2 linked regions of the Saccharomyces cerevisiae S288C genome follow. The main gene of each other region encodes a partner of the protein of the gene in region 2 in a complex. Each region holds a gene or a part of one and is shown on either strand. Other genes may lie near its edges.

Region 1 (4,934 bases), on a different chromosome or scaffold from region 2:
GTTTTCCAGACGTTCAAACCGTCAGTACCGGTACTTACTAAACAACCTGGGATTTGCTTATGCCATTTGACATCTTTAACTTCCTTTTGCCAGTGAACAAACAATAATTGTGGTGGAATTTCTTGTAGCTCTTTTGTTTCGGCGGCCTGTTGTTTAATTTCCTCATCGTCAGCTTCTACAGACAAATCCCACAAAGTCACAGTATTATCTTCTGAGCCTACCGCAACGATAGACTCATCTAATGGGTTGAATGCAATGGAAGTAATGGCTCCCTTATGGAAGTCATATTGAGCAACCGGTTGGACGGCGTCAGCATTACTTGGCGTAAACTGTCTTAAATCCCATACTCCCCATGTACCGTTATCGTCACCGCTTGCTAGCAAGTAACCAATTTTATCACTCCAACTTATGACATTTACGTCAGTATTAGAAGCTTTAACAGAGATAGCAGGTTTATGTTTTTTTGATCTTGTGTCCCAAATCCTTATATATCCATCACATCCTGCGGTTGCAAAAACGGTGGATTCAGTGCGAGACCACTGGATATCTTCTATGGATTTATTGTTTGAAACAGTAAATGGTTGTTTATCAGTCACCCATCTCGATGTGTGCCTTTGGGTAAAATATATTTGTCCTGAGCAATCACCTGATAGTAACGCACCAGTCTTGATCAATGGTGACCAATCCAACCCGTAGCCTTCAACATTCCCATGATTTTTTACAGTGTGAATAGGACGCTTAGCAGACTTCGGAATCTGATAACCTGGTGTGGAAAAAGCTTTGCTTTGTGGAGCTAGATTGTATATATAAACATCACCATTTTCGCTCATTGTAGCGGTTAACACCTCTTGATTAGAAATGGCAAAAGGAGAAACCTTTAATCTATTGGTTGTATCTCTCAATGGTATATTTTCATTCTCAATGACTGGATCCACATCATCTTCATCATCCTCTTCATCATCTTCACCTTCATTATCGTCTTTCAAAAGTGTTTTCGCTAAATTAGAAAGTGCTAGAACCATTAGTTCATTCTCCTTTTTCCTGGAAGATTGAGTAGCCGTGGTCAACAAAATAGACTGTGGATAGTTTCTACGTTCAGAACCTAGTGTATCTGGAATGACATCTAATGTCAAGCATGGCCATGGCATATTGACATTATGTAGCATTTCATAAACAGTGGGATCAGCCTCAAGGACTTCATCTGGCCCTAATGGACGAGACATATGGGGTAAGTAAAGCTCCTGGATCTTTTCTTTGTTGCCTTCGGATTGGTCCTTTTGTACTAAAGTTTCAGCTTCTTCTTGCTTTTTCCTAAGGTCATCTTCGTCATTAATCTCATCATCGCCATCAATTTCAATAATTTCACCATCACTATCAAATTCATCACTCAATTGTTCTTCTAGGTCATTCTTGGGAGCATCTTGCTCTTCAGAGGCGGGAATAGCAGGAACAGAGTGAGATTCTGTTTTAGCAGAGACCACTCTATCTTGTTCCTCGTTGACCTCGATAGACCTTTTCGACATTATGGTGCTATTTCCGTGTATATGAAAACGGAGAGTAGGTGATATAACTATTTACCTACAAATTCAAACAACTACAATCCCTATAAGAAATGATCATCTCATCGCTAAATTCAGTTGGATTTTATTTTCTGTATTTTTCGCTGAAAGGAAAAAAATTTTCACGGCTCGAACGAAAAAAGAAACGTGATCACGATGTAAGTACAAATGGTACTCTATTTTGAAGCGTCTACGTTATGTAGATGATATCATACTTCCAGTTGCATATCGTCAGTAACCTCATCTTTAGACTGTTTGTTCTTCTTCTTTTGGTTTTTTTTCGCTACTTTCCTTAGCTTTTCTTCTTCAATAAGATTTGATCTATTCGACTCAATATAGTTTACAAAAAAATCACCATTTTTGGTCTTCTTTGCTTCGTTAAGTGTAGCTTCCACATTATTAAATAGTTCTACCCTTGTCTTGGCCAGTCTGTTTAGTATTTTGTTATCTCGTGCTCCGCATTCCATTTTTCTACATTGTCTTAGAGACTTAAATGATACTTCACCGGGATTCATATACCTGTTTTTTCTCAAGTTATGCCATGGTGTTATCAAGATGGTGCATTGTGGCATTTTGTTTCCTTGAATGGATTCTGATTTACATAGCTGCAGACAGTCACATATCACTTCTTGCGGTATGTCATCGATTGTTTTTTCATTTGGGCGTAACTTTAAATAAACATGACCACTTGAGTACTTATCCGCGTGAAACCAAACATAGTTTAACTCCCTATAGCTCCATTTGATAAGTAGATCGTTTTCAAACTTATCTTTGCCCATCACAATTTGGTAAGGTGTTGAATACTCAGTTGGTTTTGATTCATAGAAATACACCATTGTTATTGAAAAGTTGAATTTCAATTGAGCCTTATAATTCTATTCGCTTACTTTCTAAATTTTAAGTATAAGGCAGTCCTCTGGTCTACAGAGTTGTTTTGTTTTTTTATCCAAGTTCTTTGTTTCAATCTTATTGTAGTTTTTTTCCATTAAAATATTAAAGCCTAGGATAATCTATATCCTAAACTAAATATAAATTAAGAGTATAAAAGATGAAAGTAAATAGCATCTAGCATTCAGAAAAAATAAGAAGTCTCTTTTCAAATGATTGATCGAGCACAACGAATGTTTTCAAACCACTGTTAATTTTTTTATAGATGTAATGACTACTTATATGTTCTACGATGTGATTTTGTAGGAATAAAATAAAATTCAGTTTACCGTCTGCATATTCATAAACACTTAAATGACTGTTAAAGTATTCAGTATTTTAAATAATAATAACATAAATTATTAATACATACTTAAATACGAAGCCCATTTTGGTGGGTTCCTGAAAGAATATCAACTTTTTTTTACTAATAGAGAATTTCGTTACAAGGTGGGCGGCTAACTTATAAAAAGCAAAGGAGAAGGTTTTAACATATCGTCAAGTTAAGTTTGAAAGAGAGAACTAAAATAAAAAAAAAGAGAAAAATGTACGAGTACTGCTCAGTTGTAATAAAGAAATACTCCAAGTATACAATTCCCTCCTTCGCTCCAAATGGTTTTCAATCAATGCTTGAGCCTCCTCAGATAGACAAGTGGCAACACCTTTCCGCTAACTGCACTCTCCAATTTCGGGTTCTTCTAATGGACTCTAGACAAATTCTGATCAATGTGGTTCTCAATAATTCAACACTTCTCGAAAATATTCGCCTGCCGCTGGGGGATAATCAAGATTTAATACAATTTTCATGTAAAAGCCCCATAATCTCTTGTAAATATATCTCCGAAGAATTCGGACCCAGAATGTTAAGGAGGTTTCAGATGAATTTGCCAAATGACGTTGAGTTCAACAGGACTGTAGTTTCTTTAAAGAACCTTAATTTTGTTTTAAGGACAGCTAGGACATCAATAGCCCAGAGTACAATAACAAGCCAGGTGCAAGGCAATAATAACGGTACAAAGGTCTGTTTCACAGAAGGTCCAAAAGTTAGTAGCTACACAAATCCGAACACGCAATTTCAAACTCAAAACATGATTATGGATTTCAGTCAACGTTATCAGGAAGAATCTGAAAGAGAGTCAAATAATCGTTCAAATATAACTTTACCACACGACAGCATTCAAATAGCTCAACAAATATGGCCAAACACGGATTTAAATGTAGTACAATCTTCACAAGACCTCAACACTCCAATGGCTACGCAAACTGTTTTGGGTCGTCCTGAGTCGCTAATTGTACAGCCATTGGAGGTTTCTCAATCTCCACCAAACACTACCAACTGCCTTCCTAATGCAGAAAACAAAAAGAAAAAAGTCGACACCACTTCTGATTTTACTTCAAGAAAGGAGATTGCTCTGTGTAAAACTGGTTTATTAGAAACTATTCATATACCAAAGGAAAGGGAAAGTCAGATGCAAAGCGTCACTGGTTTAGATGCAACACCAACGATTATATGGAGCCCCGGGAAAGACAACACGGCGAAGAAAAATACCAGTAATAAGAAAAATATTGATGATAAACTAACAAACCCCCAAAAATCTGGAAATACACATACCCCTGATAGAAATAAAGAAGTGCTACCTAACGGCACACTTAATGAAACGAGGAAAGAAGCATCGCCAAGCGAAGGATTAACGATAAGAGTTAAAAACGTTAATCGGAATGCGTCAAGAAAAATATCTAAGCGGCTAATCAAGGAAAAGTTGAAAGACGAAGAATTCATGAAATGGGTATGTATGCATTTGCAAGAAACTGAGCTGTTTCCCCCTCTTATCCACTCATTTTCTCTGACTTGACAAAGAAATACTAACTAACAACTTTTGCCACTACAAATATGAATGAAAAGGTTAATAAGGTTGAAACGGTTCTCAATAAAATGTTCGAAAAGTGAACCCTTTTTTTGCAATTCCTTTTTACACTAGCCACGAAGTAAAATGGAAAAGTAAACCCGAGTTTCGGCAATATCGCTAAGCAAGAAGAGCAAGCTCGTTTAAGTAAGCCTTTATGAAAAAAAAACAAAATATAAAGCATTATAAAAATTGAATCACATCGCAAATCTGCAATATACTTGGAAGTGTTTATAGCAAAGTGTGGTATAGAAAAAGAACCAAAGGCCGGTATGTCGTTAAAGGATAGGTATCTAAATCTCGAATTAAAATTAATAAATAAACTACAGGAGTTGCCATATGTTCATCAATTTATCCATGATCGAATAAGTGGTAGGATAACTCTCTTTTTGATAGTGGTTGGTACGCTTGCATTTTTTAACGAACTGTATATAACGATCGAAATGAGTCTTCTACAAAAGAACACATCAGAAGAACTAGAGCGTGGAAGAATCGATGAAAGTCTGAAGCTTCATCGGATGTTGGTGAGTGATGAATATCACGG
Region 2 (5,990 bases):
GACCAAAGCAGTCTTCCAGCATTTCAGGGTGCTTTTCATGAACTAAAGTGGTTAAATCACCACCATCATCTAAGATCAAGTTCAATTTCTTGTTGTCCTTGAAGGCAAACAATTGTTGTTCAATACACCACAAATACTCTTCTTCAGTTTCACCCTTCCAGGCAAAAACTGGAACACCGGAAGCGGCAATAGCAGCGGCGGCATGATCTTGAGTCGAATAGATGTTACAAGAGGACCAGGTAACTTCGGCACCCAAAGCAACTAAAGTTTCAATTAAAACAGCAGTTTGAATGGTCATGTGCAAACAACCAGCAATACGGGCGCCTTTCAAAGGTTGGACGTCACCGTAAGCCTTTCTGATGGCCATCAAACCTGGCATTTCATGTTCAGCCAATTCGATTTCCTTTCTACCGAAGGCAGCCAAAGAGATATCAGCGATTTTGTAGTTTTGAGCTGGAGCAGACATTGGGAATTGTTCTTTTTGTCAGTTGGGTTATTTCGAGGAGAAGAGGATTTTCAGAAAGAAAGAAAAACAAATAGGAATGGAATCATGGAGTTAATAAACCACGTTACTAAATAAGAGATTGGAAAATCTAAAATACGGCTTCGAGGTCGTTTAATTTTCTTTTTCCTCTGAAAATTTTCTTTCTTTTTCGGCCTTAGCCTGTGAAAATTTCGGCCGAAAAAAAAGCCAACGAGATCACGTGCACAGAAATATCTGCGTTAGAGGAGAGAGGTAGGGATACTTACAGAAATGAAGCCAAATTGGCAGCTTTTTGAGAAATAATCATGAATGATAAACAATTGCTGTTAAATAATGTACGGAAGGTTTGGATAAAGGTTGCTATAGGCATTATATAAATAAATCATCTCTATATAATTTTTTTTACAGGATATGCTTGCCCTTACATCAGAATTACCAAGCAACACCAGTGTAGTATTCTCTTTGTTTGTACATCCAAACCAAAGAGGTGGTTGAGACAACCAATGGACCCATGAATCCCTTTCCCAACTTACAAGTTCTAAAGATCAATAATTCAGAGCCGAAGTGGAATAGGGCAACCATATAAGACATGAAGACCAATTCGAAAATGTGTGGTTCATTCAAGTACATAGCCCCATAGAATCTGATAACACAGGAAATAAAGGTCCAAGTACCGAAAGTTCTTGCACTCAAATGGGTTGTTTCAGTGGGTTTTCTTTCGTAGACTTTACGTGTCAATTCTAAACCAGAAACGTAAGTCTGGATAGAATTGAAGACTGATACAATGGAAATGAAAAGTAACCATTTTGGTAAGTAACCTTTTGGCATTGCTGCCAAGGTGGTCTTGGTTGTAGTTATTACGTCTTGTAGGCTGAACATTATCTGATACTTTAGTGTATTTGAATCCTTCGATACTATGGTCTAGCTAGTGTCAAGAATATAAAAACCTGAAATTAGTCAATGCGTTTACGTCAAAAATAGTAGCAATAGTAAAGCAAAACAACAGGCTTGTTCAGCTTAGTTTTATATACGGGGGTAGAGAATACAATGGATCGTACCTTTTTTTTTGTTTCCTGTTCGTTCCGTCCCCGAACGAAAAAATCATAAAATAGAAGTTTCCTATCGGTAATACCGTAAAGTTTAATTCAGTTCGTATAAGATTAGGTTAATCATGGGCAAGTCCGGAAGAAGCGTTTTAATGTAGGTCTGTTGGGGAAGATGTTGTGTTCACTGTAATTTTCAACTGAAGTTGTTGTCCCCGAAATGAAAGAGCTTTCGATATTTTTGTGTTTTATAATGCGCCTCCTACTGCAAAAGAAAAATTAAATGTTTTCTGTCTCATTGAACCATCTTGACAATCGAAAGCGCGCTATCAAATTTCTTTCGGCAGTAATTAATAAGGCCGCCTGTATATATTTCCTTTTCTTCTGAAGCGATATTTCATGAGCCGGAAATTTTTCCAGGAAAGGTTTTAAGTGCTGCCATTCAATGCTTTCAAATGTCTCGAGCAATGATAGAATAACTATCTTGAGTATTTTCAATAGACCCCCTAACTCTTTTTCTGGGACACCGCTTATTACACTGTAAAAGTTCTTTAAGTAGGTTTTCTTCAAACTCAATTCTCTTTCGAGGTATACTCGACAGTACGCCTTTTTCCGGTTGATGCATATTAGTTTATGCTTCGATACAAATCTAATAAGTACATGTATCAGACTTTCGATGATGATAAGTATGTGTTCAATTAATTTCAGAACAGATACGTATTTTAATATCTGCGGTTCAAATGTTTGGTTTGTCTTGATTTTGATGAGTTGAATGTTAATAATAGAGTAAATAAGGGTAAAATGCAACGAACACAAGCGCTTGTAGTCAACTTTATCACATAAATGTTTGCCATCTCCCTGGTCGTAAAAGTTTTGAAGCCATTTTGGATCGTTTTGGTTCTTCTTCAATAAAATTCTATTAAACAGAAACTTGGCGATGAAATTGAAAACATGAACGTCTATCAGTGTCCTCTTAAAAGAAGAATCAGAATCTATGCGATGCGAATAATGAGAAACTAACAAGATTTGGAGTGTTTGAAACACTTGCGATAACCCTCTAAAGTCAATTTCTTTTGTTTTTAAGCTCAGGATTTTTAGCAGAATTTTATATCTCGGTAAAAACCAGTTGTTTATATCAGCAGTTGATACATCTTTGCTAAATGATTGCAGCTCCTTTAAACCAACTGCATCTTCGAAGCTTTTGTACTTATTCTGGCAAAGGAAATTGTATATAGGTTCCAGATGAGCAAACAGTGATTTATTATTCAAAAATCCATTTTCGAAAGGCGCAACCCATTTGTATATATGTTTTGAGTTTTCCCGAGGATTTATTTTTAAATTTTTTTCACTCTTGAGAGCACCTACATCTTCGACATCTCCTTTCTTTCTTGAAAGTGCCCTCTTCCACAACGTAGGATTCCTGGATTGAATTAAAGCAAAACACTGTCATAGATAATATTCGAGGAGATTACACCTCTTACTAAAAGTTAGTAAAGAGAAAATAGGTTAAGGATGTGACAATTTCACGTACGATTATCCAGTCAACTTCCGATGTTTCCTTTTGTTCCATATCTTCCAGTTTGCCTCTACTCATGTCCTTACTCTTCTAAAAGATTATTTAATGAAACTGTTTCACAACTACAAGATGTTTGTTATGTTTTCTTTTACAAGTCGGAAACATTTAGCCGCCCAGCAATATATATGACTCCGAAAGAAAATGAAAGGAAATACATACATAGTAAAATAAATCGTTTAAACATAAATAATCGTACAGAGGAAAACATTAAGGAAGGAGAGTCAAACTAATGTACTGGGAATTTGGATCTCCCATAAGAAGTATGCGCAATACTTTTATTCATCATATAGACTGGAGCTGCGTATCATTTCTTCAATCATTTTCAGAAACCCGTTAACATCACTATCCTTGTTTTGAAGGCTTTGATAACTATTATTACCACCATTAATTGTGCATTCTTGCATGTGCAACCTCGAAATTTTCTTCATTTTTTGAACCAATTTTTCGTAATTTTCAATTTTTTTCTTCATCATTGTGTTTTCTTTGCTTATTTGGTCAAATTCCCTTTGAAGTTGTAATTGTGACATTTTCTTTCTCTGTCGACACTTGGAAGCGGCAATTCTGTTTCGTTCTAGTAGCCTTGCACGCTTCCAAGCTTTAGCACCGTCTTTCAAGCCTGCAGTATTGTTCTCTATTTTTTGGGGTCTAGCTTCCTGCTTTATTTGGAAGGTTGCTGTAGTGTGCATAGAGGAGAAGGGCGCGGTATGTACGTCTTTCTCACTATTAATATTGTTTTTCAGTGCAGAAGTGGCATCCTTGTATTGTGGTTTTGAGTTGGCATGTGTTAAATTGACATCAGGGCATTTCGATTCGTATGGAAGGCTGCTTGAAATATTCAACTCGGCATTTTGGCAGGAATTATTAACAGTGTGGTGATTAACGCCATGGGAAATTGAAGAATGGACGGATTGATTTTCGATATTATGATCATTAATGTTTTGGCAGGAAGAAGAAGAGGAAACGGAAGAATTAGAGGCTGGAGTACATGGATGCACATTCAATTGAGCGTTTTTCCATGCCTTAGTTTGCATTTGAGCTTGTAATCGGAGTTGCATGTTGATGTAAGCCTGATTCATTGTGGAATCGCCAGATGGGATAGAAGGCGTGGCAGAAGGAATGTCACAAGTGGCTGCTACTGCGGGTATGTTAAGCTTTATATTGCTATCATACGGGGTCATTGCAGCGTAGATATTCTTGCTACCTGTTTGAGGTGCAGCTTCGGGTATGACTGTAGCTTGTTCGTGTGGTTGTGGCACGTTTTGCAATTCGTTCGAGCTAAAGCTTGGGTATATGGCTGCGCTTGGATTTGCCACCTGTTGAGGATTGGGATTCTGTTGCGCCTTAGACGATAGGATCGGAGGCTGACAGTTGTAAAGATTTTCAACCGTTTCTAAGTCTTCGCCTAATTGACTAATCTGACCATTGGAGATAGATATGCGTCTTTTGTACACGGGCTGATCAAACGCTGGTAAAGAACTTTGAAAAATGGGAGGGTTGGTAATGGGAAGATGGCTGATGTCGACGCCAAAGGGTTGAAACATTGGACCCAGGTTTTCTTGCACGCTACGGTCATGCAAACTGTTTTGGTGATGAAAATTGTAGGCAGAATCCACAAGACCAGGACCCGATGGTTGTTTGTATATAAGCTCCTTGTTTGAAGATAGAAAATCTGTATATAAGAGTGGGTTCTGCCTTCCATCTAGGAAAGAATCTGGACTTGTAGCAAAATTATGCTTATAGTCCATACTTTATTTGGTTCCTTAGTCGTTACCTGGTGTTATTCCAGTACTATTAATATAACTCAGTACAATTAGCTGCCGTGAAAAAAAAAAAATAATAAGAATACAGTTTCTGCGCTTTTAGTCGGTAAGCACTCAGATTGAGAGATCTAGATTTACTATATTTTAATAATAACCAGTTAAAGCAGATTTTGAAGATGAACTAACATAAAAAAAATTGATGAATTATGTAACATAATCTTCTGTACCACCAGGGTAAATCGCCAAAGAATATCTGCATCTAAGAACAAAAGAAAATGGTGCCCTAAATATCTTTCAGATGAAAAACTAATTATATATCACTACTAAAAAAAGCCAGAAAAAGAAAAAAAGTAAAATAGAAAATAGAAAATAGAAAATAGAAAAATAGAAATTAAAATTAAGAGCATTTTAAAATTAAGTCTACAAAGTAATACTTGGCATATTGCTTAACTCCTCACGCAGAGCCTTAGCGTACCACTATTTTATCTGATACCACAAAAAGCTGCGCTTTGATGGCCCAACGGGGATATAATCGCGCCACTGCTACTCATGTGCTGCAAACTAACAGTGCCAGCAGAAGCGAGCATTGAAAAACTAAACTTTGCCTTGTTCTGCTTACTTCATGCAGAGGTACAGCTTCGATGTCCTAAGGTTGAACATCATCTTGCTTCGATTTCGGTAGTAATCATTTTGCCTGCACGCCATTGTATGAATCTCGTGCCACTCCCTTTTTAACTCCGAGATACAACTTTCCGTGGGGAAAAGTACCGTAGTATTGTAATTTCGAGAGCATCTTTACGGTAATTGCCCCTCCACACCCAGACGTTACACAACCCTTAGTAAACAGCTGCGGAAAAAAAGTGTGCCTACGCACTGTACGACTCCTGATTGATTCCTTCATTAGCACTGACTGGCTTACGGTGCACATAAGTTATTAAGAGCAGTTTAATTCAGTTGCTGAATAGTCACGTTGATGAGCACGAATACCTGAAACACCAACGGTAATGAATCAATTGGCCTAGCGCATCGTTGTGTGCTTGGGTGTGCCGCACAATGGCAACCAAATACTGCTCGTTCCTGCACTTCGAAAGAAAAGCAGCCAAAAGAAAACGCGTTTTCCTTTGCGA

Evidence for each region. Proteins that work in one complex are often made in the same cells at the same time.
Region 1: MEI4 (region 2) and REC114 share a complex: the UniProt entries of both Saccharomyces cerevisiae proteins name them as parts of the MER2-MEI4-REC114 complex.

The regions. Positions count from the first base shown.
Region 1 is NC_001145.3:533,176-538,109, forward strand, and holds REC114 (Rec114p), read left to right. Parts: upstream 1-3,031; coding exon 3,032-4,273; intron 4,274-4,389; coding exon 4,390-4,434; downstream 4,435-4,934. Other genes in the region: ribosome biosynthesis protein RRB1, read right to left, coding at 1-1,523; JLP2 (Jlp2p), read right to left, coding at 1,769-2,395; ERG29 (Erg29p), read left to right, coding at 4,663-4,934. UniProt on the Saccharomyces cerevisiae protein: Required for the production of double-strand breaks (DSBs) in meiotic recombination initiation; not required for mitosis. Plays a role in activation of the DSB nuclease SPO11 at recombination hotspots.
Region 2 is NC_001137.3:236,654-242,643, forward strand, and holds MEI4 (Mei4p), read right to left. Parts: upstream 3,122-5,990; coding exon 3,059-3,121; intron 2,971-3,058; coding exon 1,807-2,970; downstream 1-1,806. Other genes in the region: SAH1 (adenosylhomocysteinase), read right to left, coding at 1-466; ERG28 (Erg28p), read right to left, coding at 917-1,363; ACA1 (Aca1p), read right to left, coding at 3,379-4,848. UniProt on the Saccharomyces cerevisiae protein: Required for meiotic induction of recombination, viable spore production and chromosome synapsis. Component of the MER2-MEI4-REC114 complex which seems to be required for meiotic double-strand break (DSB) formation.